Oryctolagus cuniculus: one gene and its partners. The protein of the gene in region 5 binds, or shares a complex with, the protein of the main gene of each other region. Links are inferred from orthologs where the notes say so. Each region holds a gene or a part of one and is shown on either strand. Other genes may lie near its edges.

What was found.
Region 1: the proteins of CALCRL (region 5) and ADM are in contact, whole or in part, in a cryo-EM structure (PDB 6UUS), measured with the Homo sapiens proteins. The link is inferred for Oryctolagus cuniculus from reciprocal best matches to the Homo sapiens genes CALCRL and ADM. Residues at the interface, in NP_001258680.1 of Homo sapiens: Val36, Thr37, Asp70, Gly71, Trp72, Asp90, Tyr91, Phe92, Gln93, Asp94, Phe95, Asp96, Pro97, His114, Ser117, Thr120, Trp121, Thr122, Tyr124, Thr125, Asn128, Val135, Ala138, Leu139, Leu141, Phe142, Thr145, Thr191, Leu195, Ala199; in NP_001115.1 of Homo sapiens: Cys110, Arg111, Phe112, Gly113, Thr114, Cys115, Thr116, Val117, Gln118, Lys119, Leu120, Ala121, His122, Gln123, Ile124, Tyr125, Gln126, Phe127, Thr128, Asp129, Lys130, Asp131, Lys132, Asp133, Asn134, Ala136, Pro137, Lys140, Ser142, Pro143.
Region 2: the proteins of CALCRL (region 5) and RAMP1 are in contact, whole or in part, in a cryo-EM structure (PDB 6E3Y), measured with the Homo sapiens proteins. The link is inferred for Oryctolagus cuniculus from reciprocal best matches to the Homo sapiens genes CALCRL and RAMP1. Residues at the interface, in NP_001258680.1 of Homo sapiens: Asn39, Met42, Thr43, Gln45, Tyr46, Glu47, Tyr49, Gln50, Lys51, Ile52, Met53, Gln54, Thr68, Trp69, Asp70, Gly71, Arg113, Arg119, Thr120, Phe228, Leu231, Ile235, Thr239, Val243, Ala244, Gln250, Trp254, Tyr255, Leu258, Phe262; in NP_005846.1 of Homo sapiens: Trp59, Ile63, Tyr66, Arg67, Ala70, Phe83, Trp84, Pro85, Asp90, Phe93, Leu94, His97, Gly98, Phe101, Arg102, Cys104, Pro105, Ile106, Ser107, Gly108, Arg109, Ala110, Val111, Arg112, Asp113, Pro114, Ile118, Leu119, Phe122, Ile123.
Region 3: the proteins of CALCRL (region 5) and ADM2 are in contact, whole or in part, in a cryo-EM structure (PDB 6UVA), measured with the Homo sapiens proteins. The link is inferred for Oryctolagus cuniculus from reciprocal best matches to the Homo sapiens genes CALCRL and ADM2. Residues at the interface, in NP_001258680.1 of Homo sapiens: Val36, Thr37, Lys40, Asp70, Gly71, Trp72, Asp90, Tyr91, Phe92, Gln93, Asp94, Phe95, Asp96, Pro97, Ser98, His114, Ala116, Ser117, Thr120, Trp121, Thr122, Tyr124, Thr125, Asn128, Thr131, Lys134, Val135, Ala138, Leu139, Leu141; in NP_001240774.1 of Homo sapiens: Leu106, Arg107, Val108, Gly109, Cys110, Val111, Leu112, Gly113, Thr114, Cys115, Gln116, Val117, Gln118, Asn119, Leu120, Ser121, His122, Arg123, Leu124, Trp125, Gln126, Leu127, Met128, Gly129, Pro130, Ala131, Gly132, Arg133, Gln134, Asp135.
Region 4: the proteins of CALCRL (region 5) and GNB1 are in contact, whole or in part, in a cryo-EM structure (PDB 6UVA), measured with the Homo sapiens proteins. The link is inferred for Oryctolagus cuniculus from reciprocal best matches to the Homo sapiens genes CALCRL and GNB1. Residues at the interface, in NP_001258680.1 of Homo sapiens: Lys167, Ser168, Ile394, Arg397, Asn398, Gln401; in NP_001269468.1 of Homo sapiens: Arg52, Phe292, Ala309, His311, Asp312.
Region 6: the proteins of CALCRL (region 5) and RAMP2 are in contact, whole or in part, in a crystal structure (PDB 3AQF), measured with the Homo sapiens proteins. The link is inferred for Oryctolagus cuniculus from reciprocal best matches to the Homo sapiens genes CALCRL and RAMP2. Residues at the interface, in NP_001258680.1 of Homo sapiens: Arg38, Asn39, Ile41, Met42, Thr43, Gln45, Tyr46, Glu47, Tyr49, Gln50, Lys51, Ile52, Met53, Gln54, Trp69, Asp70, Gly71, Arg119; in NP_005845.2 of Homo sapiens: Trp86, Ile89, Tyr93, Ser94, Arg97, Leu109, Gly110, Pro112, Glu117, Ile120, Phe121, His124, Gln125, Phe128, Ala129, Cys131, Ser132, Leu133, Val134.

What each region holds. Positions count from the first base shown.
Region 1 is NC_091432.1:55,858,275-55,863,107, reverse strand, and holds ADM (pro-adrenomedullin), read left to right. Parts: upstream 1-1,558; 5' UTR 1,559-1,722; intron 1,723-2,164; 5' UTR 2,165-2,185; coding exon 2,186-2,283; intron 2,284-2,432; coding exon 2,433-2,582; intron 2,583-2,804; coding exon 2,805-3,123; 3' UTR 3,124-3,888; downstream 3,889-4,833. UniProt on the Homo sapiens protein: Adrenomedullin/ADM and proadrenomedullin N-20 terminal peptide/PAMP are peptide hormones that act as potent hypotensive and vasodilatator agents. Numerous actions have been reported most related to the physiologic control of fluid and electrolyte homeostasis.
Region 2 is NC_091434.1:2,452,697-2,457,619, forward strand, and holds the start of RAMP1 (receptor activity-modifying protein 1), read right to left. Parts: upstream 3,159-4,923; 5' UTR 2,730-3,158; coding exon 2,678-2,729; intron 1-2,677. UniProt on the Homo sapiens protein: Accessory protein that interacts with and modulates the function of G-protein coupled receptors including calcitonin gene-related peptide type 1 receptor (CALCRL) and calcitonin receptor (CALCR). Required for the transport of CALCRL to the plasma membrane.
Region 3 is NC_091442.1:123,407,713-123,412,575, forward strand, and holds the start of ADM2 (protein ADM2), read left to right. Parts: upstream 1-1,677; 5' UTR 1,678-4,863. Other genes in the region: SBF1 (myotubularin-related protein 5), read right to left, coding at 1,418-1,472. UniProt on the Homo sapiens protein: Intermedin/ADM2 is a peptide hormone that plays a role as physiological regulator of gastrointestinal and cardiovascular bioactivities mediated by the CALCRL-RAMPs receptor complexes.
Region 4 is NC_091438.1:163,949,417-163,953,720, reverse strand, and holds part of GNB1 (guanine nucleotide-binding protein G(I)/G(S)/G(T) subunit beta-1), read right to left. Parts: intron 2,160-4,304; coding exon 2,121-2,159; intron 407-2,120; coding exon 300-406; intron 1-299. UniProt on the Homo sapiens protein: Guanine nucleotide-binding proteins (G proteins) are involved as a modulator or transducer in various transmembrane signaling systems.
Region 5 is NC_091434.1:52,916,674-52,921,439, reverse strand, and holds the start of CALCRL (calcitonin gene-related peptide type 1 receptor), read right to left. Parts: upstream 3,428-4,766; 5' UTR 3,000-3,427; intron 1-2,999. UniProt on the Homo sapiens protein: G protein-coupled receptor which specificity is determined by its interaction with receptor-activity-modifying proteins (RAMPs). Together with RAMP1, form the receptor complex for calcitonin-gene-related peptides CALCA/CGRP1 and CALCB/CGRP2.
Region 6 is NC_091448.1:20,145,067-20,149,575, forward strand, and holds RAMP2 (receptor activity-modifying protein 2), read right to left. Parts: upstream 2,733-4,509; 5' UTR 2,628-2,732; coding exon 2,525-2,627; intron 2,062-2,524; coding exon 1,996-2,061; intron 1,627-1,995; coding exon 1,515-1,626; intron 1,410-1,514; coding exon 1,154-1,409; 3' UTR 992-1,153; downstream 1-991. UniProt on the Homo sapiens protein: Accessory protein that interacts with and modulates the function of G-protein coupled receptors including calcitonin gene-related peptide type 1 receptor (CALCRL) and calcitonin receptor (CALCR). Required for the transport of CALCRL to the plasma membrane.

The DNA of each region.
Region 1 (4,833 bases), on a different chromosome or scaffold from region 5:
GTCCTCAGAATAAATAACCTCGGGGCAGTCACTTCTCATTTCGGTGCAAATGCCCAGGGTCCCTTTCCCAAGAAAAAGGCGGCCAAGCCAGCAGCGCACCGTGGCCGAGTTCCCGGAGCCCAGCGCCCAGCAGCTTGGCCCTGGGTCTCAGAAGCGTGCGGCAGAGCAGGTACGTCCCTGAGAGCCCACGTTCTCGACCGGGACGCTAGGCAGCAACGTGACCCGCCCGCGTTCGCGCGGCAGCTAGCTAGGCGGCGAGGACAAGCCGCCAGTCTGGCCAGGGGTCTTTCCCGCTTGTCGGTGGGCTTCGGGACAATTGCAACGCGAACGCCAGACACCTGCGTGCAAGGCGCTGAACTTTTGCCTTCCATTCTGCCTCTAGAAGAGAAAGACAGCGAGTCAAGAAGCTGTGGCGGAAGCGCAAGGCAGGGGGACAAACGTGTTTGGGCCGATTCATCGTGATCAGGCATACCCTCGGGCGGGGGCTGGGACGCTTCTCCCCGCCTCGACGGGATGGTGACCCCAGCCTAGAAGAATCCACGCCGCGCCCCAATTTGCCCTACTCGCTGGCGGGGCCGGGGTAGGGCTCCTCCGCTTCCCACCTTTCCCGTGACTTTGGGCAAGGGACTTATTTCATCTGAATTTCAGTCGTCCACGGGGGCAAATGGGGAACGCGCTGTCACCCTCCTCCCCTCGCTCAGGTTTCACGTGGAGATCAAAGGAGAGAGGGCCCTGTCTGTTCCTAAACCATAAACGAGGCATTAGCGCGCGCCGTGGCAGCCGAGCCTCACGTTTGCAATGGGCGAATCGAAGCGGCAGGGCACTCTCAGGTTATCACCTTATAAGGCATAATTGGATGACACGCGGGGAAACATCGGCTATTCCTGTATTTCCAAAGAGGCACGTCAATTCTGAAACTTCACATATTTACCCCCTCCCCTCCAAATCCAATTATCGATTCAGCCGCTGCGAGCTTTGCGTGTATTGTGAAATCTTAACTAGCTTATCCCAAACCCCCGAGGTCTGGTCGTCTCTTGGGAGCCCAGGAGCCCTGGCTCCTCGCTGCTCGGCTCTGCTCTGCTCCTGGACCCTGCCCCCCGCGACTCCGCGGGAGCCTGGGGTCGGGGCCAGGTCAGACGCTGAGCCGGCAGGGGGCGCGGTGCGCCTGAGACTGCAGCTCCCCAGTCCCAGCCATCCGCTCCGGATCCCCCACTAGTTCTTTCAGCTCCCTGCTGGGAGACCCCCCTCTTCCAAGGCTGCATAGATCCCGGGATAAGGACCCCAAGGGGCTGTGCTTACCCTCTTTTCCGCCGGACTTGCCATGTGAACCCTGCGCCCAGCGAGTTAGGGCTATGGCAGTTTCTGCACCAACCTGGAGCTCTCCTCTTGAGTCTCTGAGCTCGAGGGACTCGCGCTCTCCCCCCACCAACCCCACACCTACAGGCAAAGAACGCGCGCGCCCGAGAGCAGAAGCGCGCGCGCCGGAGGAACAAGAGGGAGGGCTCGAGGGCAGTCCAGGCCCCGCCCCCTGAGCGCTTATAAAAGCACGGGAACCCGAGCTGGCTACTCAGTGGTTTCTTGGTGACACTAGGCGGAACAGCTCGAGCCTGGCCACTTCTGGCTTCTCACCGCAGTCGCGCTTGGACTTGGGGGTTTTGCCGCTGCTAGAGGGACGCCTCGGACTTGCTGCTCTCAGAACTTGTCACATCACCCTTTCAGCAGGTAGGTGCCGCACGATCAGCGGGGTACAGCCGGCCCTTGCTGAGGCCCGAAGCTGGGAGCGCTGGGAACAATCCACTTGGGGGAGGGGAGAGGGGTCCTTGGCGGGGAACACCTCAGATCCCGGGCGCAGCTCGTAGACACAGTAGGAGCGCCAAAGACCAGCTCCCCTCCGTTCCGTCCGCTAAGTTCCACGAAGTTGAGCAGGGAACCTCTGGGAACCTGGCGCTGTGCAACGGCCTCCCCTGCAGAGCCTGTCACCCGCCCCCAAGGGTGCAGACGCCTCTGGCGGCCTCTCTGCGCCCCGAGGAGATAAGCGCCCGAACCAGGCAGAGCGCGCGCTGAGCTCGCCCGCGCCAGGGTCCCCTCCCGCCCTGCGCGCCCCGCCCGGGCCTTGCAGATGGCCTGGGTGCTCACGTTCCACTCCTCTTCTGTCTTTTGCCAGGGTCTGCGCATCGTCGTCGGGATGAAGTTGGTCTCTGTCGCCCTGATGTTCCTAGGCTCACTGGCCTTCCTAGGCTCGGACGCCGCACGGCTCGACGTGGCGTCGGAGTTCCGAAAGAAGTGAGTCCCTGGCAGCGCCTTGCCCTGTCCTGGTACCTGGCAGACGAGGGAAATGGACCGCTGGTCCCCAGGGGTTAGAAGTGAATGGGCCGGGCAGGGCCGGGCGGTCGCCTGGACGCACGCGAATCTGGTCTGCTTCTGTCTTCCAGGTGGAGTAAGTGGGCTCTAAGTCGTGGGAAGAGGGAGCTGCGGGACTCCAGCAGCTATCCCAGCGCGCTCGCTTCAGTGAAGGCAGGGCCTGCCCAGACCCTCATTCGGCCGCAGGACGTGAGAAGCGCCTCGCGCAGCCCGCAGGCCAGGTAACCGCCGCACGCAGCTGGAGACTGGGGTGCAAGCGGGGCGGGGGGGGGCGCTCTCTCTCCCCACCATTCCGGTCCTGGGCATTGGCAGGGCTGGATTGCAGCTCAGAGCGCCGGGGAACATTCTCTCTGCCTCTGATCTTAGAATGGCTCCCGTCCGCGGTGTCTGGGGCCACAGCCCTGCTGGATGGGGTCTCAAGTTGCCTCCCTTTCGCTCCCCAGCAGTGCGGACGCCGCCCGCATCCGAGTCAAGCGTTACCGCCAAAGCATGAAAAATTTCCAAGGCTCCCGCAGCTTCGGCTGCCGCTTCGGGACGTGCACGGTGCAGAACCTGGCGCACCAGATCTACCAGTTCACCGACAAGGACAAGGACGACACGGCCCCCCGGAACAAGATCAGCCCTCAAGGCTACGGCCGCCGGCGCCGGCGCTCCCTGCCCGAGGCCGGCCGGGATCGGACTCTGGTGTCTTCCGAGCCACAGGCGCGCTGGGCTCCGAGCTCCCGGGAGCACCGAGTGCTCGCCACCCTCCTTAGGATTTAGGCGCTCGTGGCAGCAGCGAGCGGTTGGGCGCGCATCCCGCTGGCGCCTCCCGGGGCCGAGGGCTTCGCGAGCCGGATGGGGACCGGACTGAGACAGCCCTGCACAGACCCCACGTCCGGGAGGCAGCGCCGGGCAGCCAGCCCTGTCTTTGCAGCAGCTCTTCCTCCTCCTTCCCCTCCTCCTCCTCCTCCGGGAAGCGCCGCCTTGGCCCTGATCAGGCCTGGGCGCCCCAAGGGGGCAGAGGAATCCGAGGGAGTGTTTGCCAGGTTCACAGAGAGGAGAAACTGAGAATTACACGCTTGGACTCCAAGGGCAAGGGTCTGAGCCACTGCCTGGCCCGCCCCCAGACCGACTTCTCACGGGTGGCACCCCACGGGGCGCGAGCCTCCTATTACTTGAACTTTACAAAACCTAGAGAGGAAAAGTGCAATGCGCTATGTATATACAGAGGTAATTATCAATATTTAAGTCTGTTGCTGTCGAGATTTTTTTGTAACTTCAAATATAGAGATATTTTTGTACGTTATATATTGTATTAAGGGCATTTTAAAGCAATTGTATTGTCCCCCTCCCCTTTATTTTAAGGTGTGAATGTCTCAGTGAGATGCAAGACGGTTGTTGGAGTGTGTGTGTGTGTGTGTGAGAGAGAGAGAGAGAGAGAGAGAGAGAGAGAGACTGATTACCTCTTGTGGAAGAAGGAAACACCATGTCTCAGTATAATCTATTTACATAAAATGGGTGATATGCAAACAGCAAACCAATAAACTGTCTCGATGCTGATTCATTCTCGCTCACGCGTCGAGCGAGGGCGGCTGCCTCTCGCAGTGGTGCGCCCGGGAGCCTCGGGGTCCCGACTCCAGGCTTGGGGAGGCGCGGCGGGGGGCCGACCTGGCATCTCTCCATGCCGGGTGTGCTGTCGCGGGCTCTGTTCTCCACGTGGGGAGCCCAGAGCGCGGGTCCTGGGTGTGAGTCGGGGCTCCGAGGAGACGCGGGAGGTCACTGCCTCGCGTGGCGGCCAGGGCGGGCCGGGTAGGGTGAGCCCCACCGCGAGGCGCGCCCGGACTCCTCGGGTTGCGCAATGGCTTCAGCAGACTTGCGGCAAATCCAGGTTTACCGAACCCTGCGCGTATCGCGCATCGGAAAGTTGCGGCGGTCTCCGAAGCCTTGCGAGCGCGGAGCTCGCTCAGCGGCCGCGCGCGTGCAAGTGAGAAGCCGCCCCGCGGCTGGAGGTTCGGTAGCCTGCGGACTGCGCGCCCCCAGGCACGGGGACGGCAGGGCGGCGGGCTCATCTGCGGGGTGGCGGCGCCCCCTGCCGGCCGCCGCGGGGGGGCCCCGGAGCCCGGCGGCTGTACGTGCGGTTTAATAAGTTCTCCTACGTGGGAGTCGGCACACAGCCTTAATGAAAGAGGAAAGAAAAAAACAGTCTGCAGATGCCAGCCAGGGCTGCCCCCCCAGACCTGCGCGGCGGCTCCCCGCTGGGGCCGGTGACTCAGCGCCCACACGCTGCGCCGCGAGCAGCTGCCGGCCGAGGCGGGCGGGACGGACGTGCCGCCGGAACCGTGCGCCGCCGACAGCCGAGACCTTCATTGTTCCGCCTCCCGTGGCCGCTCTCCCCTTCCTTCCTTCCTCTTTCCCAAGCCGTTTTCGGTTTTTTCTCCACTTCGTTCCAGCCGTCCTCCCTCCCCGTGCTTCCTTCGTGCCTTATCGTCT
Region 2 (4,923 bases), about 50 Mb from region 5:
CCCCCTGCACTGGCTCTCCTGGTCTCTGCATGCCCTTGCTCTCCAGGTCTCCCCCTGCCCCGGCTCTCCTGGTCTCCCCCTGCCCCCGGCCCTCCTGGTCTCCCCCTGCCCCGGCTCTCCTGTCTCCCCCTGCACGAGCTCTCCTGGTCTCCCCCTGCCTGGCTCTGTCTGGTCTCCCCTGCCCTGGCTCTGCCTGGTCTCCCCCTGCCCTCTCACGGCCCTTCCTCTGCAGGGCCTCCCTGAGCTTTCTGGAGAGCGTCCCCCCCCCCCTCCGCAGGTCCCCACTGCCCCCGCGCCTGCCCTTGCCGGGGCTCCAAGCCTTGCATGCCTGCACCGGGTGGACAGGAGGCCCTAAAGCCTGGGTTCCCGGGATTGGAGACGCGCCCCCCATGGGCTCCCTGTAGGGGCGGCTCCATCAGCGTTGCTGGGTCAGGAACGGCGGCCCCCTGGGGCTCAGACCTCAGGCCCGGTGGAGAAGAGACCACTTCCCTGGAGTCCCAGCAGAGAAGTGTTCAGTGCGGCCACTGCAGGGAGGGCCGACCACCAGCACGCGCTGGGCCCAGCACCAGCCCTATGTGGCCCTGGCCGGCATCTGCCCGAAACCGGTGCATTCCCTCCGGGGAAGGGAGTCAGCAGGCCCGGCCAACCATCTGCTCACAGCCAGGATTCCACCCAGAGCGCTGGCTCCTGGTGTCACCGGTGCCACTGACCGTGCACACGGGGGACTGGGGCGCGCCCCCAGGTCCAGGCTCACAACACGCATGCTGGTTGGCGTGAGCCACGGAAGAAGACAAACCTCTGGGAGTTTCTCCCTGCAGCTGCACACACAGGGGCAAACAAACCTGACTGGCAAATGAGAAAGCGCCAGGGTCGGACGCCAGGGTCGCGACCGCGTCGGGACGCAGAGCAGCCGGACACGGGAGGCGTCGCGTACCGCCTCTCCTGGGTGTCCCGGAACTTCCAGCTCTCCTCATGGTCGCACGATCGTGTGTTTCAATGTCCCAACCGTTCCAAAAACCCACAAACACACAAACCCCGGCCCCCGCCCGAGGGTCCGGGAGGCTCCGCACGCGAGGCCGGGATGGAGTGACCCCAGCCCGCCTGGAATGGCTTCAGGGTGGTCACACACAGTCTTCCCCACACACGAGCCCATCAGCCTTCCAGGAACACACGCGTGTACAGGACTCTCAGAGCACGGAGGGGCCCGGCACAGAGGACACGCAGAAGGGCAGCAGACTGGACAGGAACAGCTTGGCTATAAAATCCTTAAGGCTGGGGACCAACACGGCCCATGCCGGGTCGCCATCCCAGGCAGCCAAGGTCACCTCCAAGGACATGTGGCCGTGCTATGGCACCGGAGGGTGACAGCGTGCGTGTGCAGCCGCGTTCCAAGTGCATCTGTTCACGGGTGACCTCACAAAGCTCCGTGTGTTCTTCTGAGACGTGACACTGGCCAGGCCACTCAGGACGTGACGATGACGGCTCTGGCCTGGCAGGAGAGCGCAACCGCTCTCTGGTCACCAGGGAAAGTCTGTGTGATCCCAACACAGGGCTTTCTTTGTACCAGCCATAGAGGGCACCGCCTCCGGACACCAGCAAAGGACATTTACGCGTTTAAGTAAAAACCACACAACTCATTCTCTGCCTTGCTAACAGAGCTACGCTGGCTTCCGAGGGCACTAAAACGGCCGACTCCACGTCTAGGCCGACGGAGGACGGGATCACTACAAGATCTCCTTCTCCTGTGACTTCGGCAGAAGCGCTCAAGTGCCAAGGCCGGCGTTGAGATGGCCACACGGAAGCCGGGGCAGGCTTTGGTTACGGCCGGCGGCTCCTCCTGGCCTGGGCAGCCTCTCCTGCCCCCAGGGGCTCAGCTAGAGCAGGGCGGGCAGGCCCCCTCCTCCCACGCCAGGCTCCAGCGGCACAGCAGGCGCCCACAGCAACATCACAGCTCTGGGGAGGGAGCCCTGGACGGAGTAGCCGGTGCCGTCCAGTCCGTAAGAGGAACACACGGAAGGGGACACATCCACCAGCTCGAACAGCTGGGAGCTCTGCATGTGTGCATCAGGACACCCGGCGGAGGGAAGACGATCCCTCGCCCCATCCCCGCAGGTTCCCGCAGCCTCTCCAAGCCCGGCCACCCCACCGCACCGGGGGTCTCCGCCCGAGTCAGGGAGCGAACACCAAGTCGTGGCTCTGCCTCCAGAGGACAGGCGGCTGGCCTGGCTTCAGCGGGGACACCGCTTAGCAAATCAGAAACAGCGGCATGTGACAGTCAGATGACCGGTTTTTACTAATTTCCAAACAGCCGTGGCCCTCACTCAGTCTGCAAGGTGCTCACACCCGAGCCCCAGGGAGCCTGCGCGGAGGGTGGGGGTGGGGAGCAGGGGCGCTCCCCAGCGTGCGGGGCCAAGTGGCAGCTGCCCTTCAGCCTCCTCCACCCCACCCCCACCCCCGCCGGGAGGGCGCAGACCCCTGCCCAGCCGCCTGCCCCGCCCGTCTCCTTGCCCCGCACCCCGGGACGGCCCGGCTTGGGGGACCTCCGCCGCGGGCCCCGCGTGGCGAGGCGGCGGCCGGCGTTCGCGAGCCTGAGCCGGCGTGCTCGCGGCGTGCGACCCCCTCCTCCGCCCTCGACGCGGGGGAGCCGGGCCGGCCCGCGACCCCGGCCCCTACTCACCCAAAAGCAGCCAGAGGCCGCGCTGCGGGAGGCCACGCAGGTCCGGGGCCATGGCGCGCAGCGAGCCGAGCCGAGTCCGCCCGCGGCGCGCCCCGCCGAGTCCTGAGCCCGCCGCGGCGCCCGCCCCGGGAAGACGCCGCCGGGGGCGGGAGCGCGGGGCGGGAGCGGCGGCCGCGCGGCCCGACTCGGGGTGGGTGCCGGAGCGGGCAGCACCTGCCGGGTGGAAGTCGCCCAGAACCAGGAAAACGCTGCCGCCTTCCGGAAAAGTTCGCCAAATTAACAATCGGGAAACCTGGGTGGCGGGGCGGGGGGCAGTGCGCTTCCAGAACCCTCCGGGCACCTCGCCGCCCTCCCCTCGCAGGGTCTGGTCACTCTTGCCCGCAGTCAGGCGCTCCCTGCCCCTCCAGGTGCGGGCACGGGGCGCCCGGGGGCAGCAGCAGCCTTGGCGCTGGCCGAGCCCCGCGCACAAGAAGCCGGAGCTGCGGGGTGCGGAGGGGCGCGCCCTCGCAGAGGCCCTGGGCCCTAGGGAACAGGGAGCGCTCTTCAAGGGGCTGGGGGGGCCGGGGTTGCACCTGCCGCTGAGGGTGACGCAGGGACCAGGGCCTCCAGTAGAGAGGTAACGCCTCGCTTGGTGGTGGCCGGCGCGAGCGTGAACCCACCCGGGTGGCGGTCACCCGCGCAGCCCTTTGCAAGCAGGGCTGAGAGGCGGGCAGTGCGGGAGACCTCAACCCCGCATTCACCGCTGGCTTAGCGGTGGCTCCTTCCCCAACACCCTGTGAAAGCGAGTTAGCGTTCCTTCGCGGCCACTGGTTAATGTCACAGCTTCCAGTGCAATGCCCGCCGTCTCCGTGGGTCAGCCGGCGCGGGGCAGGGGATGGCTGACCGACCCCGCTCCTCCGCCGAGGGGCTGCTGCCACCTGCCGGGCGCTCAGAGCAGCGCACAGCGAGGCGGCCCTCGGTCCCCTCTGAGCCCAGGTTGGCAGGGCGGGCACTCCCTGGGGGTGGGCACGCCTGCGTGTGCCCGGGGGCCCCAAGTCTCCTGGGGGCGACGGTGGTGGAGGGCACCCGTTCCCGACCTGAGCAGCCCCTCCGCCTGAGCCCTGGGGCACATCCCACCAGGTAGGCCCACATCCTCAGCTGGTGCATCCAGTGGGGGACTGCTGTGCCGCAGGGACCGTCCAGCACGGGGGCACTGCCCTCCGCCGTGGAGTAAGGACACAAAGGCACGTTCGCGACAAGCTGCACCCCCTGGTCTTGAGGACTGGGGGGGGGGGAATCCCTGAAGAGACCACAGGCTACAGCACAGGCCTGGGGTCCAGAGACCACGCCATGGCCAGAGGGCGTGAACACGGCCCGTGTGGCCCGAGGACAGGTCCACCTGAGTTACGCTAGGTGATGTGAGTGGAGGCGACCTCGTCCTGGCTCAGACCCCGTCCACACCCAGCTGCCCCTCCCCTGGGCCCCGTCTGCTCGCCCTGCGGCTGCACCTGGATTCCTCCCAGGAACTTCTCCAAGGGTAACTGCAGGAGGCGTGGGGGCCCCTGGACAGGCACGGGCTCCTCACAGGGCCAGGCTCCCTTGTCAGGTTCACGCTGGAGCCTGGAAGCTCACGCTCTCTGGAGAATGCTGAGGTGACCCAGAGCCCTGCGCCACTTCCTGTCCTTTCACGTCTGTGCCCGGCCCGGGACGAGGTAGCCAGTACTACCGAGGGTCTGCGCTGCTCCGAGGGGCAAGGCGGAGCAGACTGTTTACCCCGAGTTGAAGACCCCACCCGGTGAGACTCTGTTCAATTTGTGTGTTATTTCTGGTTGGCAGCTGGAAGCATGGGGATCCATTCCTCCGGGGGCCCCCACCTACAGCGCATCAGGGCCAACAGTGGCTCCGCTGTAGAACGGCCCAGTGCTGGCTGTGCACGTGGTAGCTACACAGTGTTCACTGTACACGTGGCTACACACACAGTGCTGACTGTGCACGTGGTGGCTACACACACAGTGCTGACTGTGCACGTGGTGGCTACACACACAGTGCTGACTGTGCACATGGTGGCTACACACACAGTGCTGACTGTGCACATGGTGGCTACACACACACGTGGTGGCTACACACAGTGTCTCACTGTGCACGTGGTGGCTACACACACAGTGCTGACTGTGCACGTGGTGGCTACACACAGCCCAGCGTCTCACTGTGCGCATGGTAGCTACACACAGCGTCTCACTGTGCACATGGTAGCTACACACACAGTG
Region 3 (4,863 bases), on a different chromosome or scaffold from region 5:
CCCCCACGCAGCTCCCGCCACAAACACAAAGCATCCCGGAGTCCACGCATGTCTCCGCTCACCCACCGTCACTACCGCCACCCCCCAGCCCGGCTTCTGCTCCCGCCCCTGCCCCAGCCAAGGTCCCCACACCGGGGCAGCCCTCGGCTGGCCTCACCTCCCTGGACCCATGCACGGCTCTGCACCAGGCGGCGGGTGGGGCCTCCCCACTGCCCACCACACGTGCCTGGGAGCAGACGGCGCTCCCCTGCGGGCCAGCACAGCACTGACAGCGAGCCTGCGGGCACGGAGGACGGGTGACCGGCACGCCGTGGTCCTCCCCTGCGAGAACTCTGAAGACAGATGCTCCCGACTGACGGTGCCAGCAGCCGCGCGCTCGCATAGACGGCAGCAGAGAGGAGGAGCGGGCACTGAGCTGAGTGTGCAGGGGAGGGACACACCAAGAAATCACGCCGGGTCCAGCAGGTGGGGGTGGACACACGGACAGTGCAAACGGAGGCTCAGCAGAGCGGCCAGTCCTGCGCTGGGTGTGACGGCAGCAGCTGGACTGGCAGGAGGGCTCAGCCTCAGCTCCAGGTCCAGCCCCAGCCTGATGTCAGAGCCGAGCTGGACGACACCCTGCCCCCGCGCGCCGGCCTGGAGCGGGCGCTCACCCTCTCCGCGCCTCACTCCGCGCCCGCGACAGAGGAGGGCACCATCAGGCAACCTGGGTGGGCTGCTGGGTGGAGGAAGCGCACATCATGCACACAAAGGGCTGTGCAGGGCCTGGCACTCCAAGGACGCCGGCCAATGCTGATGTCATCGTCAGGCTCCGTCTCCTCCTGCCCCCTGGGCTGAGGGCTCTCGGACACAGGTGCTGAGCGCAGACACGGACCCCCCACACGGGCCCCCACCCGGGGCTTGGCTGACACGGGCCGCACAGCAGGCCCTTCGCCAGCAAAGTGCTCGCCCGCTCCCGGCACTTCCTCCTGCAACCCTCGCAGCCCCAGCTCGAACACACCTCTCCGCGAGGAGGCTCCCGAACCCCATCCCCTCGCCGGCACCCCACCAAGCCTGCTCGAGGCTTCAGACCCAGCATCGGGGCAGAGGAGGCGCCGGCAGAGAACCACCCATGCCCCCGGCAGCCGGCCAAGGCGCACGGCCCATCCCACCCCACGCGGAGTCCGGGAGGCTGAGCCGCCCCGGGGCCCTCCCACTTCCCCGGTCGCCGCCGGAGCACTCGCCCCCATCACGCGGTCCCTGCCCACCGCCCCGGCACAGCCGCAGGTGCCCCGGCCGGCCTCGCGCGGGCCCAGCGGCCGCAGCACCTCGCCGACGGCCCGGGGCCAGGGCTCCCAGGCGCCGGCCCTCAGCTCCAGCTCCCAGCCGGCCTCCGGCCCCCGGGCCCGGGCCCCCGGCCCTCAGCCGCGGCACTTACCGCGCGGGTGCGGCCCGAACGCCACCAGCACGAAGTAGTCCGCGAGCCGCGCCATGGCGAGGGGCGCGGGGCGGACCCAGGGGCGCGGGCGGGCTCCGCGGCTCGGGGACTCGAGGGCAGCGCGCTCATGGCCCGGCCCCGGCTCTGGACCGCGCACCCCGGATACCCCGGGCCCGCTCCGCGGCGGCAGCGGTGGCCAGGACTTCCGCCGCCATCTTCCCAGCCAGCCGGCCCGCCCGGCCACGCCGTGCGCCTGCGCACCCTCGGCCCGCCCCCCCCAGTGGGCGGGGCGCGAGACAACAAACGCCATTGGTCGACCATTCGTGGGGGCGGATCCCGGAAGCGATGGCCCGCCCATCGTCTCCCGCCCCGGGGCCTCGGTGCAGACCCTCCGACCGGTCAGCGGCCCTGGTTGAGCCCCCCGTTGGGAGGCGCTTCAGGCTGAGGGAAGGCGGGAGGGACGTGGGCCCGGCCGGAGGACGGAGGAGGCCGAGGCCGTCACCTCAGGGGGGCACCCAAGCCCCACCTTTGGGGGCTCTGGGTTCGAGAAAGGCTGGGCCTGCCCTTGGGGGTCCCCGCGGAGGCGAGGGAGATCCAAACACCCGGCCCAGGGACACCCGCCGCCCCCAAGTGCTGGGGCTGGTCAGGCCCTCCCCAGCAGCGGCCCAGCGATGGTCAAGGGAGACATGGCCCTCAAGGGCAGGGTGCCTGCAAGGAGCTGGCTCTGCGGAAGCTGATGGCAGCCATGTCCCATCTGCCCCAGGAGTGGCCAGAGAGAATGAGAGGCAAGCTCAGAGACAGCTGAGGGGGGGCCCAGCCCATCTCCGCCCTGCTGGTGGACGGTGGCACAGCCACAGCCGCCCTCAGCCACTCCCGGGTTGACCAAGGCTGAGGAACCCTTTTTGTCTAAGCCGGCTTGAGTTGATTTCCAGCACATGTACCCAGAAAGGAGCCCCTCCACCCCTATTAGCACTCCGGGGTTTGTGTGTGGGCAGCAGCAGCCCTGGACACATCCTGCCAGGGGCTACCCCACACCCGCTTCCCTGCCCTTAGGCCTCCCACCAGGCCCATGTCAATGCCCAGGTCTGTGTCCCCAGCCTCAGGGGCCTGTCCCTTCCAGGCTGCCCTAACCCTGCAAGGCTCCTGCCGCTGAGTCTCGGGTCCTGCCCGTGGCACCCTCAGCAGTGCCTGCGTCCACCCAAGCCGCCTCTCCCCCGCTGACAGAGAGAGGTCGTCCATCCACTGTTCCATCCACTGATCCACTCTCCAGATGGCTGCAACAGCCAGAGCCGAGCTGATCCGAAGCTGGGAACTTCCTCTGGGTCTCCCACGCAGATTTAGGGCCCCAAGTACTTGGGCCATCTTCCACCGCTTTCCCAGAGCAGAAGCAGAGAGCTGGATCGGAAGAGGAGCAGCTGGGACTAGAACTGGCGCCCACAGGGGATGCCAGCGCCACAGACGGAGGCTCAGCCCACTGCAGGGTCACAGCGCCGGCCCCTCTGGCCCCCATCTGGCCAAACTCCAGGGCCATCCACACCCCTCACCTGCCGCTCACCATACAGGGTGAGTGGCCTGTGGTGACACCCACTGCCCAGCCTGCTGCTGTCTGGGCAGCTGTCTCCAGTCCGCAGCTCTTCCAGCTGCTGCCCCTTCCTCACATAGAAACAGAAGCCACCAGGTGGGAGACCCCCAGCCGGCATCCCCCCCACCACGTACCCACAGAGCCTCTGCCTGCTGCTGGCCGGCCATGCCCTCACCACACCCTCTCTTCCTCCTTCTGGCTCCAGCTTCATCTCGGCTCTCAAAACCTCCCTTGGCGGTCGCCACGCTCGCTGTCTGCTGCACTCCCACTTCTCTAAAGCTCTCCCCACTGCCGTCAGCACACCCAGCCCTCCCGCAGCCCGGGCCTGGCTGGCCTGCCTTTCACCCGTCTCCGCCGTGGACACTGCTCCAGGGCAGCCGCCCCATCGCGCCCCAGGGGCAGCTCCTCAACTGAGGAAGAACGGAGGCCCAGGGCCTCCCCTTGAAGAGTGTGGGGACACTTCTGTGGGCTCGCCAGTGGGAGAGGCAGCCAGGCTGATGCCTGAGGGTCAGAGGACCCCCCCAGCGCCGTCAACCGTGGGCTCTGGGCAATGGGACCACGGTCTGATGGAGGTAGTGATTGTTCAGTCGTCCCAGGGTCTGAAAGAAAGAAGGCAGTGGGCTTCTGGCCCGCCCACCCCCAGACCTACCACCACCTGTCCCAGATTAAAACGTCCCTACTGGCAAGGTGGACAAACCATGTTTGTGTCTGGAACGATGGTGCTTCCACAGTGTGGAAGATGACACTGCAGGACGAGTGCCCTCCTCGGCCCTCTGCCCACACCTCCCTACACCACCTTCTTCCCTCTGCCTGCTCTGTGGACGGTGTCCCTCCACCTGCCAGGGCCCGACCACCTCGAAATCCTGCCCTGTCTTCAGCCCTCGCTCACAGCACCGAAGGCTGAGCCGACACCTCCGTGTGGGTGACCCACGGGTGGCTCAGAAGGCAGAAAGGCTGTGCCGGGAGCCAGGAGCCCGTGTGTGCAGCACCCTGTCCCCCATGTCCCCATGGGCCCCGCTCCTGCTGGACTCCCCAGGCCTGTGCTCCTGACACAAACACACGACCCCTCTCAGGCCTGGCTGGTAGGAATGGACAAGCAGGTGACTGCTGGAGCCCCCCACCCTTCTCAGAGGTAGGCCAGGCTCAACACTCATGAACTTAATCATCCAGCAAATGTTTACTGAGCGCCCATGGTGTGCTCAGCAGGAGGGACAGAGTGGCCACAGGGGGTATGAGGAGGGGCAGGTAATCGGAGAAACCTCTGGTAGGAGGCGGATGAGATCATGGCTGCCTCTCAGATGGACAAAGAAGCCGAGAGCTGCCGAGGCCTTCATCTGTGGACAGTGGTGGGCACCAGGTTTGTGGAGAACAGGTTAGCACCGTTGCTGTCCAGTGGAGACCGCGCAGGGTTCTCGTGGCCACTGATGAAGGATTGGTTAAATCAATCACAGGACACCAACTATGGAGCTGGGCCGGGTCTACTTTCCATTCGACGTGCTTGTGTGTGAGGTACAGGGAAGCAGAACCTGGCCCCACAGTGGGCACTGTGCAGGGATCTTGCCTGGCACCTAGGTTTGAGTTTCTTACAAAACGAGGTTCTAGGAAAAAGGCCGCCTGGGAACGGCCTCCCTGGGACCCGACAGACCCTCCGCCATCTGTTCTGCGCGGGATCCTGAGCCAGCGCTGCCCGGGGCCCACCCTCTGGCTTGAGAGCCCAGCCATGACTCCCCAGGCTCTGGACTGTGCAGCGACCCGAGCCCTGGCAGGGCGCGGCAGCCCGGGGTTCCCGCGCAGTTGCCCAGCGCTGCTGTCCCGCGCCTTCTCCTTGAAGCCACAAGGGTCCCAGGCGAGGCCGCGTCCGGTG
Region 4 (4,304 bases), on a different chromosome or scaffold from region 5:
ACAGAGGAAGGCCACTTCCCAAGGCCACGGCAGAGCACAGCGGGGCGGAGGGAAGGTGGGGTTTTCCAGGGAGGAGAACCTGAGCCACACAAGCCAGCCTGGAGCGGAGAGGAAACAGCAGAGTGGAGTGGGCCAGGTGAGCGCAGACCCGCGCACAGGCCACGCCTGGCCTGCTCATCTGACTCCTCCTCCTCGTGTTGCTCGCTACAAAGTACAGCAAATGAGTCCGGGCGACCTTCCCAGACAAGAGAGCCTCGGTGACGTAGCCGGCACGGGCTGCCGCCGTGGCCTGTGCCTACCTGGAGTCCGTGCCCCAGTGCATGGCGTAAATCTTCGCCAGGTGCCCCCTCAGCGTTCTCCTGGTGCGCATCTGGATCCTCCCCACCGGGTCGATGTTGTTTGTGATCTTAAACACGAAGGTTCCTGAGGTTAACATCTGTGACCACACGATCTTCCCAGAGCCCTCCTCCTCACCCACCCAGCAGGGCCCAGCCATCCTCCAGCTCTTCAGGGGCACCAGGGCCCTCGGGACTCTGAACAGGGCTGCCGTTTCCACGGGGCGTGAGGACACACCTGTCCCCCTGGCGTGCACACACACGGCAGCCCGGCTCCGCCTCTGTCTCAGGGCCCGGGGCCACCACGGGCACAGCCTCCAGCTCCGCCCATCTGTCTCAGGGCCCGGGGCCACCACGGGCACAGCCTCCAGCAGCTAGTGCTCTGCTCCTACCTCAGGCCACGTGTGGGCCTGGACAACACTCAGCATCGGTGTCTGCACGCCAGCACCCACCCCACAGGGCAGACACCGACAGCAATGCCTCCAGGTTGGCAAATGGGCAAAGCACACCCAACAATGAGTCTTAAAAAATGGACAGTCCACAGTGCGCCCGAGAACTGACAGCTGTGATTCTACGCTGCAAGAATTCCTTCTTACAGCGCATCCCCTTCAGTGTCTGGATCGCCTCATGAACCAAGTCACCTGCAGAGGGTGAATCTAACTTTTCTTTCACTATTCTGTCCGATTCTTTAACTTTTTAAAACTCTGTTACAGTGCCCACTCAGGGCATGCTGTGCAGCCCTCACCACTGCTCGCCTCCCCACCCACCCAGCGGCCACCTCCTCCTCTCGCCCCCACGATCCCTGCAGCCACCAATCTCCTGTCTTTAACTTAACCATTCTGGGTATTTCATACACACAGAGCTACACGTGGCTGCATTCCCTTTCACGGCTGAGTAATATCCCACCGTGCAAACACACCACCACACGTTTGTACGCTCATCCACTTATGGAGAGCTGGATGGTCTCCTCCCTTGGCTGTGTGAGCGGCGATATGAACACTGTACAGCCATCCTCCTTTAACTGGTTTCGCTATGCATGGCTCAGTTTCCTGTGGTCAATCGCAGTCTGAAACTATTACATAGGACATTTCAGATACGGACAATTCCTAAGTTTAAGTTGTGAGCCGTCTGAGCAGGAGGATGACATCCACTCCGGCCTGCTGGTCCTGTCTGGGGTGTGGTCAGCCCTCGGCCCGTGGGACCGCGCTGTGCCCACTGTGGTCACCCAAGCTGCGTCCCAGCCCCGTGTCGTCTGCCTCACTGCATCTCCTCGCACAGGCGTTGTTGTCACAAGTGTGAGTACAGGAAGATTAATTTTTTGAGACAGATCATATGCACAGATTTCCTGCAGTGTTGTTTTTATGATATTCCATTATTAGTCCGCAGCGATGCCCTCTGTAGGGTCTGTGTACACGAGGCTTCAGACACCCACGGGTTTCGGTGTGCGTATCCTACTGAACACCCGCTTGAACGCCGGCTTTTGATCCTTTTGGGCACACAAGGAGCCATGGAGCTGCCGTTCAAGTGTCTGGGGAGCTGTCAGGCCGGCCTGCGGAGTCCAGTTCTTGGACCGACTGGCCACGAAGGCAGCGACACGCCGCCTGACTGAGACAGCAGTCTTCTGCCCTGGCAGGGAGCACTACGCGGGCTGAAGAGACGACGCGAACACAGAACCCCTGTCTCCTCCCACGTCTGGACGGCTCCGCAAGACAGTGCCCCGCAGTGGTCTGGCAGCTGCACGGGCAGAGCTCACTGCGGAGGGCCCAGGCTCACACCGGCTCTTACCTGAGAGAGCGTTGCATCTGCACATGCTTTCCTAGCATCCTAGGAAGCAACACAAGAGAGGTGAGCGGTGTCCAGGCAGGGGCCACCTGGGGCCTCACAGCGTCACTGTGGAAGGAAAGCACCCCCCCCCCAACACCCACCATCCACCGCACTCGGCCACTCACACACAGCGACCGTGGAACCCGGCACGGGGACGGCACCAGGGCAGGGCCCCTGGGCGCGGGGCTGCCCTGGCCTTCGGCGCTTCTGAGCAACCACGCTGGCTCAGCGCCTGCACAGCTGACCCAGGGAGGACGGGAGGCTGGCGCCCAGGGAGAGCGGTCCAGCAAGGACCTAATGACCAGCCCAAAAATCTCTTCGGGACAATAATTACTTTGTTGGATTTAAATTTCACAGAAAAGAGCAAGGCGTCTGATCAGACTGCAGATTCAGATGAAACCTTCTGACTTCTTCCTGGCTCTATCTGCTTTCTTATCTACGAAACGACGAAATGCAGGTACACTCTGCGGAAGGACACGCCATCACTAACATCAAGTGAACAAGGAACTAGACAAGTGTGGAATCTTAAATGAACATATATTTTTATAAATAGGGAGATATAGGGAGCTGGCGCTATGGTGTAGCAGGTAAAGCCACCACCTGCAGTGTCAGATCCCACGTAGACGTGGGTTTGAGTTCTGGCTGTTCGGCTGTTCCACTCCCGATCCAGCTCTCTGCTGGGCCCCTGCACCCATGTGGGAGACCTGGAAGAAGCTCCTGGCTCCTGGCTTTGCATCAGCCCAGCTTCGGCCGTTGGAGCCATTTGGGGAGTGAATCAGCGGATAGAAGACCTCTCTCTCTCTCTCTCTGCCTCTTGTAACCCTGCCTTTCACATAAATAAATAAATCTTAAAAAATAAAAATAAAAAAGCAATATGTAAAAGAGAACTTCAAAAATCAACAGAAAAATGGAACTGAAAGATAAGCTAATTTGGGCACAATATTTTGAAACCCAGGCGTGATTTTATAGTACATATATTCTATGAATTTCCTGAAGACCTCTGTACACTAGATGCAGTAAAATGAGAACACAGCTTTAAAGGCTCACAACAGGAGTGTGGGCAGCCCCTCAGAGGCACTCAGGGCGATGTCCAGTAAGACACAGGTCTCCATGCTGCTGTGAGCTGACACTGCAGCTGGGTGTTCCCAGGAGATCCGATTTTAGGGGCAAACTTCCCTACTGTAAATTTTTATTTTATGAAGCCAGTGGGGATATCTGTGAATTAATAATATAAAGAAACTATTGGCCGGCGCTGTGGCTCACTTGGCTAATCCTCCACCTGCGGCGCCGGCACCCCGGGTTCTAGTCCCGGTCGGGGCGCCAGATTCTGTCCCAGTTGCTCCTCTTCCAGTCCAGCTCTCTGCTGTGGCCCGGGAAGGCAGTGGAGGTTGCCCAAGTGTTTGGGCCCTGCACCCGCATGGGAAACCAGGAGGAAGCACCTGGGTCCCGGCTTCGGATCGGCGCAGCGCCGGCCACAGCAGCCATTTAGGGGGTGAACCAACGGAAGGAAGACCTTTCTCTCTGTCTCTCTCTCTCTCTCTCACTGTCTAACTCTGCCTGTCAAAAAAAAAAAAAAAAAAAAAGTCCAAACCACACTAGAGTTTAAGACAGCACCTTCAGAGTCAACACAAATGGCTGCCTCAGTGGGTGCCCGTCGTGGTGCGGGGGTCAGACGCTGTGTGGGCCCACGTCCCACAGCCAGCTGCCAGGTCAAGTCTCATATCCTGCTCCTGACCAGCTCCCTGCTAGCACGCCTGGGAGGCAGACAATCGCCAAGAACGTAGGGCCCTGCCCCCCACGCGGGAAACCCAGATGGAGCTCCCAGCCGCAGTCTGGCCAAGCCCTGTGGGGAAGCTCTGCTGCTCGGCTTTTTTTTTTTTTTTTTCCTAAGATTTATCGATTTTATTCCAAAGGCAAAGTTACAGAGAGAGAGGAAGAGACACAGAAACTGAGAGATTTCCAACTGCTGGTTCACTCTCCAAATGGTCGCAACGGCCAGAGCTGGGCCAACCCAAAGCCAGGAGCCAGGAGCTTCTTCTGGGTCTCCCACGTGGGTGCAGGGGCCCAAGCGCTTGGGGGCCATCTTCCACTGCTGTCCCAAGCCATAAGCAGAGAGCTGGATTGGAAGAGGAGCAACCGGGACAC
Region 5 (4,766 bases):
TAATAATGCATCATAATACAAGAACTTTAGTAGTTATGAGAGACTTCCCCTGAGAAATTATGCAGGATTAGAGTTTACTTATGGGCTACAAAACCAGACACAGAGAAATATTTTAAATAGTTGTATATCATTTGCCCAAAAAGTTCTCTGAAATTCTGATCAAATCAAGAGCTAACATGTTCTACACACTTGACTTTTTCAATGTCATTCATTGACTCCATTGCAATGATACAGTTTATATTTAAGGGAAGAAATTCTCTCTCAAATCTATAAACAAAGATAGCTTAAGGAATAAATCTGAAGATATCAAATAATGTCTGAAAACAATAATCATTATAGGGCTAAAATCAGAATAATTTTAAGCTACATTTGAAGTCATATATAAAATATGTAATAAGCATGGTTAGTGAACCAATATTTTGAACAAATATTTTAACTTTAAAGTTATTTTGTTAATTTTTCTACAAAGATGCAAAGCAATCATTAAAATTAAGAGAAAACTTTAACTAAGTATAGAAAGTTTATAAAAACACTGCTATAATGATTCCTAATATGATCTAAGTTAGAAGTATATAATACTGCCATTAATTAAAGTTCAGTTTGTTTTTAATGTTCATCAAGTAATTTTTCAATTAATGTAAACTAAAAAGGTATTTTTGTGTAATAACATTATCTTGAATTTTTGACTGGAATTATTTGTTATTCATGGATATAATGGTAGAATATATGCAAGGGAAGGTAAATATTCTCATAAATATACTGGACTCTTAATTTAAGCTGCGTGATATACTAGGAATCACCAGTGAGTAAGCACAACACTTGGCTATTCATTTAGGATCATTTATAAAATTAAAAGACCCAATGGTAATGATTTCACTTTCTCTGATTCAGTTTCTTTCAGGATGAATGAATTGTTTTATATATATAGTGAAAATCTACATATATCTACATATTTAACTTATACAATAATGCTTTGGCACTTGGTAAGGTGTATTAGAAAAAAAGATCTAACCTAACTAAAACTCTATCCCCTTAAGAGATAGAATATTTGACGTAAAACATATTTAAGCTCAAATTATTCATATAATTTCACTTCTATGTTTCATTTCACATCTTTAGAATTGACCTTAGGCTATGCATTGGCTTTAAAATGCTACAGAGAAATATCCAGAAAATAAATTAATATCTTTATGATTAAATGCATACATTAATTATCAGATTTTATCTTATTATTAAAGAAAGCAAAGAATAATATGAATTGTTATTTCAAATTTACAGCTAGTTATTCAAATAATGTCTTTGTTAATGACCCTCATATTCGTTGCCTAGTGTTTCAAACAGTATTTTTGGAAAATAAAGTTTATGAACCATGCTATCAGCATGGACATGGATATTTAACTGAATTATGCAATAAAATTAAGGGTTTGAAGTTAGCAATTAAATAAAAATTAGAAAAGTTTGAAAATCACTCATACAATATTATATTTATATAATATTCCAAAGAAAAGAATTGGAGTTTTCTTTTTTAATTTAGACACTAACATAGCATTAGATTATTTAATATGTTGTTTCCATTTCCTTTCCAAATCATCTAAAGGCTATTCACAAATTCATATTCTAAACACACTTCCCCATGTCTGCACATGTGTCTAGGAACTGCGTACCACAATTAAAGATCGAAAGAAATAGAAATAAGCCAAAGTATTTTAAAGATTCACCGACTTCTTGATGTCCAGAAATTTGTGAGAAAATTGAGTCAAAAATTACTCAAGATGAGTTTGTAGCCTACTGTTGATGATTGACTAAGTACAGGGCTCTGCCATTAAGGGACATTTCAGAATATAATTTCATTTAGGTAAGAAAATACATTTGTAAAAAGTTATGTCACTTATAATTCGGGTTATTTTGACCCGAATCTGACATCTAGCTTTCTTTACCAACAAAGTTATGATATCGCTATACCAACAACTTAGTAAGTAGATACTAGATTTTTTTAATTGTCCAGAACAGTCTGTACTGTTGGAAAGAGCATTAACAGATGTTTCATCTCAACATTTCAGTGAGTTTTATCCTGAAAATTCTTTTAAATACATACTTTAATTCCTCTGTTTCAGGGTCTAATATACTCATTTGGGAAAGTTCTGTGGCATTTCTTTATTCACAGATGTTTCCATATCACACCCTCCCCCAAAAGCTTGCAAGGGATACTGATCAGTTGAAGAAACACATTCTCTCAGCCAAAGAGTTTTGGAAATAAGAAATAATATAAAAATTTCCACATTTTATTAACTCTAGAAGTTTCTTTTCTTTGTGGTCCAACCTAGGATCCAAATACAGTAGAAACAGTTCAGGGCTACAAAAGATTTAAATACATCTGGCAGCTACAGATTCTGAAACAATGAAAAGTCCACTAGTTCAGTAGTTAGAGATACATATGTAAATAGATATGAAAGGCAAATAGAAGCAAATATAATAAATACAAATATAATAAATCCAAAATTATTGTTTTCCTTTTGTATTGTGTTCTACAACAGGGAGACTCCGAAGACTGGTAAGGAGTTATTCTTTCATCCCTTTCTTAGAATACTGATTATATGGAAAGTTAAAAACCCTTTCTGGGGGAAAAATGTTTTCCAGCTGTCAAGATTAAAGCTTAGCTCTAGTAGAGCTAATTTTAAAAGGCATTGTTCTCTGATTAAGGTACTTGTTCAGAAATATTACTTCCAAGTTTTAATATGCCTTTATGTTTTTATTTATCGTTAATTTTAGTTTCCAGAACACCACTGTAAACAATATCTTCTAGTAGTAATGGATTTTTGCATGCATTTTTTTTTGTGCTGGGGGCAGGAAACATGCTATAGTTCCTCTAACGTGAAATAAATGAGACTGTTTCAAACATTATTTCAATGCCATTTGCTAAAGTCCATAGTAAAAATATCGGTAAGACTGTATGAGAGTACTATTTTGAATAAATAAATTATTTTGAATAATGCACTTACCCAGCACAGCTCCTAAGGAAATTCTTGGTGAAATGTTCTTAGGATGGAGTTTGACTTTCTGAGTTTCCACAGAAGAGATTTACCCCCCAGGCAAGGTGGGAAAGAGAGAAAGCCTTAGACTGTGATCTTGCAGGCAGGGTGAGATCCAGTTAGCAGAGCTTGATGGTCCTTAAGAGGCAGGAGTTGACACTGCTGGAGAGAGAAGGGCTGTTCTGAGTAGATTGGAAGTGTTGTCAGATTGTAAGTGATCAGCAGCAGGAGGGAAACATCAGAGCTTCCTGTTACATCACTCTGACCCCGCCTGCAGTTAGTGTTAGGTTACTTTCTTTCTCAAATAGCATACCCCAGGAAAGCAGCACTCCTTTCTTATTCTGAGACAAGAGCAAGAAGCAGCCTGAACAGGCAGAGATCATATGCTGTATGAATACATTGTTACTAGCAAAAGCTGGCTGGCTTTCACCTTGACTGAGTTGTTAGAACTTGCCAAACAGAGCTGCCGGTGATTGGAAGAAAATCTGAATATAATGTTCTGCTCAAAGAATCAAAGGAATTAGGGATATGCGTGTGTGTGTATGTGTGTGTGTGGGTGCATGGGAGAGTGTGTGTGTGTGTGGATGCATGGGAGAGTGTGTGTGTGTGGGTGCATGCGCATGTATGCTGAATTGTAGTTTACAAAGCATCTAGGAAAATGTTATCTAACACATTTTTCTTCACAAGTAAGCATGGAAAAAAAGCAACTGCATTCATCATAATTAATTCTGCCATCTGACTCATTGATTTTGAGCTCTGATAATCAAATGCTATTCCTCAATTAGGTTTCCACAATTAGATCAAGAAACATTATGCTATGGTTTCCTAAATTTTGTTTTACTTTGCTCATGACATGAGTATGTATGTGTTGCAAAACCAAAGTGTGTTTGTGTATATTGTTTTTTCATAATATATATGAAAGTATATGTGTTAGAGAAAATAATATTTTCAAAGGAATTCATAATTTTTAAATAATTGCACACACTTCAAAATACTTGAAGTATTTAGTTCACATCTATAACCCAAAAATTATGCTGACATTTATACCTCAAAAATCTTTAAGAATATGTTCATATTTTACAAATATATCATGAAATATTACAAAATATGTAACATACTTTAATTCATTTGAAAAAATTTATCTTGAAACATAACTTTATTTGTTTAATAAGTCATGGGATATATGACCAGTGAGAAAATTGTTAAATTAAAATGCATTTTTCATTTTTTATCATTTTGTAAGCATATGATATGAAATAATAATTGTAACTCCTGAAACCTAAATGATACTGAAAGTCATTTAATCTGTTCTGGGCATCGGTTTTCTATAAACTGGAAGAGAAAGATCAAGAAGTTTCTAAAATCCTTTATCTCTCTAAGACTTTGAATCAATGAATCTATGTAATTTAGAGACAAGTAAGATGCTGTGGAGATAATTCCATTCTTATTACACTGAGATCAGAAGCATAGAGAAATAGCTAAATGACCACAGTCCAGGAACAAAATAAGGTGTCTATAGCTCTTGTAGACTAACCATGGAGGAAAAGGCATCATAAATTAAGGAATATCGTGTTTCTGAATAAATGTGCTTCTTTATCTGTGGAAAGATCAAGATCAACAAAAAATACGTACAAAAGAGAGGCTTACTAATCATAGTTTAAAATTTGTAAACAAAATAATGAGTTACACCATGTGATCATTGTAACCAGAGGAGTTATAGCATATTATAGAATATTA
Region 6 (4,509 bases), on a different chromosome or scaffold from region 5:
GAAAGAGATGTGTCTGGTGAGGCAGACACTCGTAGACAGACATGCCCCGGGAAATGGACACGCACGTACTCAAGGACACATATCTCAGCAAGGAGGCACATCCCAGAGACGGGGGATGCCACAAAGAATCAGCGATACTAAGGAGCAATTCTCCATGGAGAATGAAGCTGTTGCAGATGCTGTTGGTGGCCTGACAGGTGCGTCCCAGGGAGGGCTGGAGGTGAAGGTTCCCCCGAGAACCTGGTGTGCATGTGCAGAAGCCGGGAGTTGCAGAGAGGTCAGAGGGTTGATTGGGATGTCTCAGAGGCCCACACACAGGGTGGGGGAGAACCAGAGGATGCTATGGAGAGAACAAATAGTTCTCTGACCCAGGGCCCGGCGGCCTCAGCCCTGAGCTGCTTCCAGGTCACACACATCTTTTGAGTCTTGGCTTTAGTGGACACCAGGGGGCAGTGTGTGGCCACCATGTAGGCCACACCCCATCCAGGACAATGTAGGATGAGGGCCAGGGACCTAGTGGGAAGGGGTGGACCCTGCCGAGGACGTCCCCACTGCCTCTGCCCTCCGTTCTGAGGTCTCAGCGATAGATTCCTGGTGCTTAGGTCCGGGTTCCTCTTCCCAAGCCTTCAGAATAAACAGGCATGCAGGGACGAGTCAGGACCGCCCGGGGTGGGGGGCTGCCTCCCTGGCTGCAGGAGTCATGGCAGATTTCTCCCTTGCCCCTCCTCCTGCATCGCCCCCCGCTGCCGTGCAGACCGGAAGGGAGTCTTTTCCTGCTTGTTTCCTGGTGCTGGGTTTGGAGCGAGGCAGGAAAGGCCTTGCCCTGGGAGGAAGGAGTATGGGGCAGGGCGTTCATCCAGGGTGGGGGCGGGATGGGGGGGTGAACAGAGCCATGAAGCCCTCCGACTCGCCCAGTTCTGCGGCCTGCTGTGGGGGTGGCAGAGGCTCCGGGAAGCGAACAGGCCCCGCTAGGATGGGAAGGGGGACATTGTACCCAAAAGAAGTTTTTATTTAGATTCAGAACTTGTGCCATGGCCCCACCCGACTTCCATCTCCATCTACCGGGGACCTGCAGGGGCTGGGACCGAGGGAAGAGGGTGGGGAGGGGGGGAGAGGGCGAGAGCTGGCAGGGCATGGGGAAGGCTGTGCCACCCTAGCCCTGGGCCTCGCTGTCTTTACTCCTCCACACCACCAGCGTGACGAGGAAGGGGATGAGGCAGATGGGAGCTATGATCATGGCCAACAGCACGTCCTCCGGGGGGTCGGAGAAGGTGGGCTGCACCAGGGAGCAGTTGGCGAAGTGGATCTGGTGAGTCTCGAAGATGATCCTCTCTGCCCAGGGGTTGGGGAAGCCCAGGCCGAACTCCTCGGCGTTCTGCTCCAAGCAGTCTCGCAGCTCGCTGTAAGGCCTGGGGGCAGGGAGGGCTTGCGTGAAGGAGAGGCAGGCCCACCCAGCAGCAAAGTCCAACCCCCCACCCCCGCGCGCCTGGGCCGCCCTCCAGGAGGGCCCCTACCTGCTAATCACGGCCCAATCGCACCAATCCTTTTCGATAGAGTCCATGTAAACCTTATAGTCGTTCCAACAAAGTAGGACGTTTGTCTCGTAGTTCTCCTCCCCCGTCCTCCCTGTGGGGACAGACGCTGCTCAGTGACCATGGCCTGCCACCCCTCTGACCCCCACACACCCTCTGGCCCAGGGACTGTCTAGGTGGAACCCACGACCCTTGTTTTCAGACGTGGGAACCCCTCTGCCAGTTCCCCTCGCAGAGCGGCCTGCCTGAGCAATCTGGTGCCTTCCATCTGGGCAGCACTTCTCATCGAAGCCTGACAATCTCCACGTGCACCTTTTCCTGGGCTCTTCCCACCCACCTGTGACGGGGGCCCAGCCGGCAGCAGAGTGGGGCAGCAGGGGGCTGGGGGGTGCCTATGGGAAAGGCACTGACCTGGCTCTCCTCCCGGCCCTAGGCCTCCCTCCCACAGCCCCTGGGCACCCACCTTCTGGCTCCAAGCTGCCCGGGGTGGGAAGAGTCTGGGCCAGGGACTCCTGGGGTTTAAGGACAGCTGTGGGAAGAAGCGGGAGAGGAGGGTGGAGAGGTGGTGAAGCAGGCAGTGGCGCCTGCGGGGGAGGGGCATGTAGGCTGCGACCCCTGGAGATCCAGGCGCCGGTTTAAGAGAAAGAGGAGCCGTCTGTGCATCCGAGGGATGCCCCCGCGGGATGCCTCCGCGCCTGGAAAGGAGGGGTGGCACGAGCTCCTGCCCACGCACAACCAGGCCCAGGCGCGCGTACGCACACCCCCCTCACCAGCCCAGCCCTCCAGGACTGTGTCCGCGGGCCCCTGCCCTCACCCCGGCTTTCCCCGAGCAAGGAGCAGAGTTCGTGCTGTGGCCGCCCCGAGGTGGGGCCGGGGACCGTCCGCAGGACGCACTGCTCACCCCGCAGAGCTCGCGTCCGCCTCGGCCGTCCAGCCCCCTCCCCTCCCTAGCCTTCCGCGCCTCCCGCGGGGCCCCGGGGCGCCGCGCTCACCGCCCAGCAGCAAGAGGAGGAGGCGGAGCGCCGCGGGCCGCCCGGCGCGGGTCGCAGGGAGTCGCGGGCCGCCAGCTGCGCGCTCCGCGCGGAGCGAGGCCATCGCGCGGCGAGGCGAGGAGGGGCGGCGGCGTTGAGCCGGGCCCGGGCGGGGGCGCCTATATCCCCGGCCCGAGCCGCAGGAAGCCGCGCCGCTTCCTCGGAGGGGCTGGGACGGCTGCGGCCACGTGGGGGGCGGAGGCGACGCCCGGGGCCCGCGGGCTGCAGGGGGAGTCGCTGCCGCACCCGCGCCGGGAGCCCGCGGCTCCCTCCTCCTCGCCCGTGTTGGCCCACGCTCCCTCCCGCTCACCCCGCGGGGCTGGACAGCTCCCCTCGTAACCCCACGCCCGAGATCCGGTGCTCGGGCTCAGCTGCGAGGCGCCGGGGACTCGCCGGGGTCTACTGGCAGGGGCTCCTGGGCCCTGGTCTCCGGCTCTCTTCGGGGGCAGGCGGTGGGGTCGTCTGGGAAGAGGGAGGGTCTGGGAGCTGCAAGGGCCTCGCGGAGCCGCCTTGGGACTGGGACTGGGGCTGCTGTGGGCCGTGGGGGAAGGGGCACCTGGAGCTAAGCCCTGCAGCTCAGAGTTCCTCTGCCCTGGAAACTCCCACCCGCTGATGTCAGCCCGTCCGCCAGACCGGGGAGGAGACAGGGCCAGGGGAGTGCACGCGAGAGGGGAAATCCAAGTCTGGTGCCTTCCTTGGAAGCATTTGCTGGGTCCTAGATCCCCAAATCTGACGGTGGGGGCGGGGGCGAGTACCTCCCCAGAAAGAAGGTGCCCGCAGCCCTCCAGACCCAGGTCGTAGGGAAGAGGGGAGACGTTCAGAACTTCCCGTGGGTGATGTCATGTACCAAGCGTGTCCATTCTTATCACCATCGTACAGGGAAAGAACCCAGGACTTGAATCCAGAGGCTCTGGGGTCCTTATTCTGTCTTCCTACTCCCCAGCTATATGGCCTCGAAGGACACATTTCGCTCTGTGGTCTCCTGTGAGAAATGGGGGCAGTCCCTTCCTCCGCTGTGGTGTGGACAGATGTGTGTCCTTGGTGCCCGGCCTAAGGCCACTGCTGGTCCACAGCAAGGCTGCGCCTGGACCCCAGGCGCCCTCACTGCTGCCACATCACAGCCGCCCCTGTGTCCTGGAACCGGACTTCATTAGCCTGGGGCAGCCGACGAGCTCAGGAGCTGGTTTGGCCATGAGGTTCCACTCCCAGACGCACAGCTGTCGGCACCAAACTTTTCTAATTACTCCCAGACGCTGACCCTTGGAACCAGTGGCTGCTGTTGTCCCAGTTTACTGATTCCTGCCCACCACAATTTCTCTTTCATGATCCCTCTTAAAATCCTCATTTCGGGATCCCAGGCTTTGGGGATCATGGCCATAGATAATCTAAAGTTTTCTTTTACAGCTAGAATTAAGACGTTAAGTTAGCAGGGCTGGCGCCGGCATCCCATATGGGCGCCAGGTTCTAGTCCCATCTGCTCCTCTTCTAGTCCGGCTTTCTGCTGTGGCCCAGGAGTGCAGTGGAGGATGACCCAAGTGCTTGGGCCCCTGCACCCGCACAGGAAACCAGGAGGAAGCACCTGGCTCCTGGCTTTGGATTGGCACAGTGCCGGCCTCAGTGGCCATTTGGGGGGTGAACTGTCTCTCACTGTCTATAACTCTGCCTGTCTAATTAAAAAAAAAAAAAAAAAAAAAGCTAAGTTAGCAAGGGACACAATGGGACAGAGGAGGTGGCCCAAAGCACTCCCGGCAAGAGTCATTTTTGCAATGGTGCAGCCTCGATGTCACTCCCAGGCTGGCACCAAATCTGTCCCTTTTGTCCTATCTGGGGTCACCCTTTCCCAGAAGGAAGCAGGGGACTTCTGGGTGATAAGACAAGAGGAGGCAGCAAGGAGGGGCAGAAAGCAAAACAAGCCATTTCTGCAGGGCGGGGTCAGGAGCCCACAG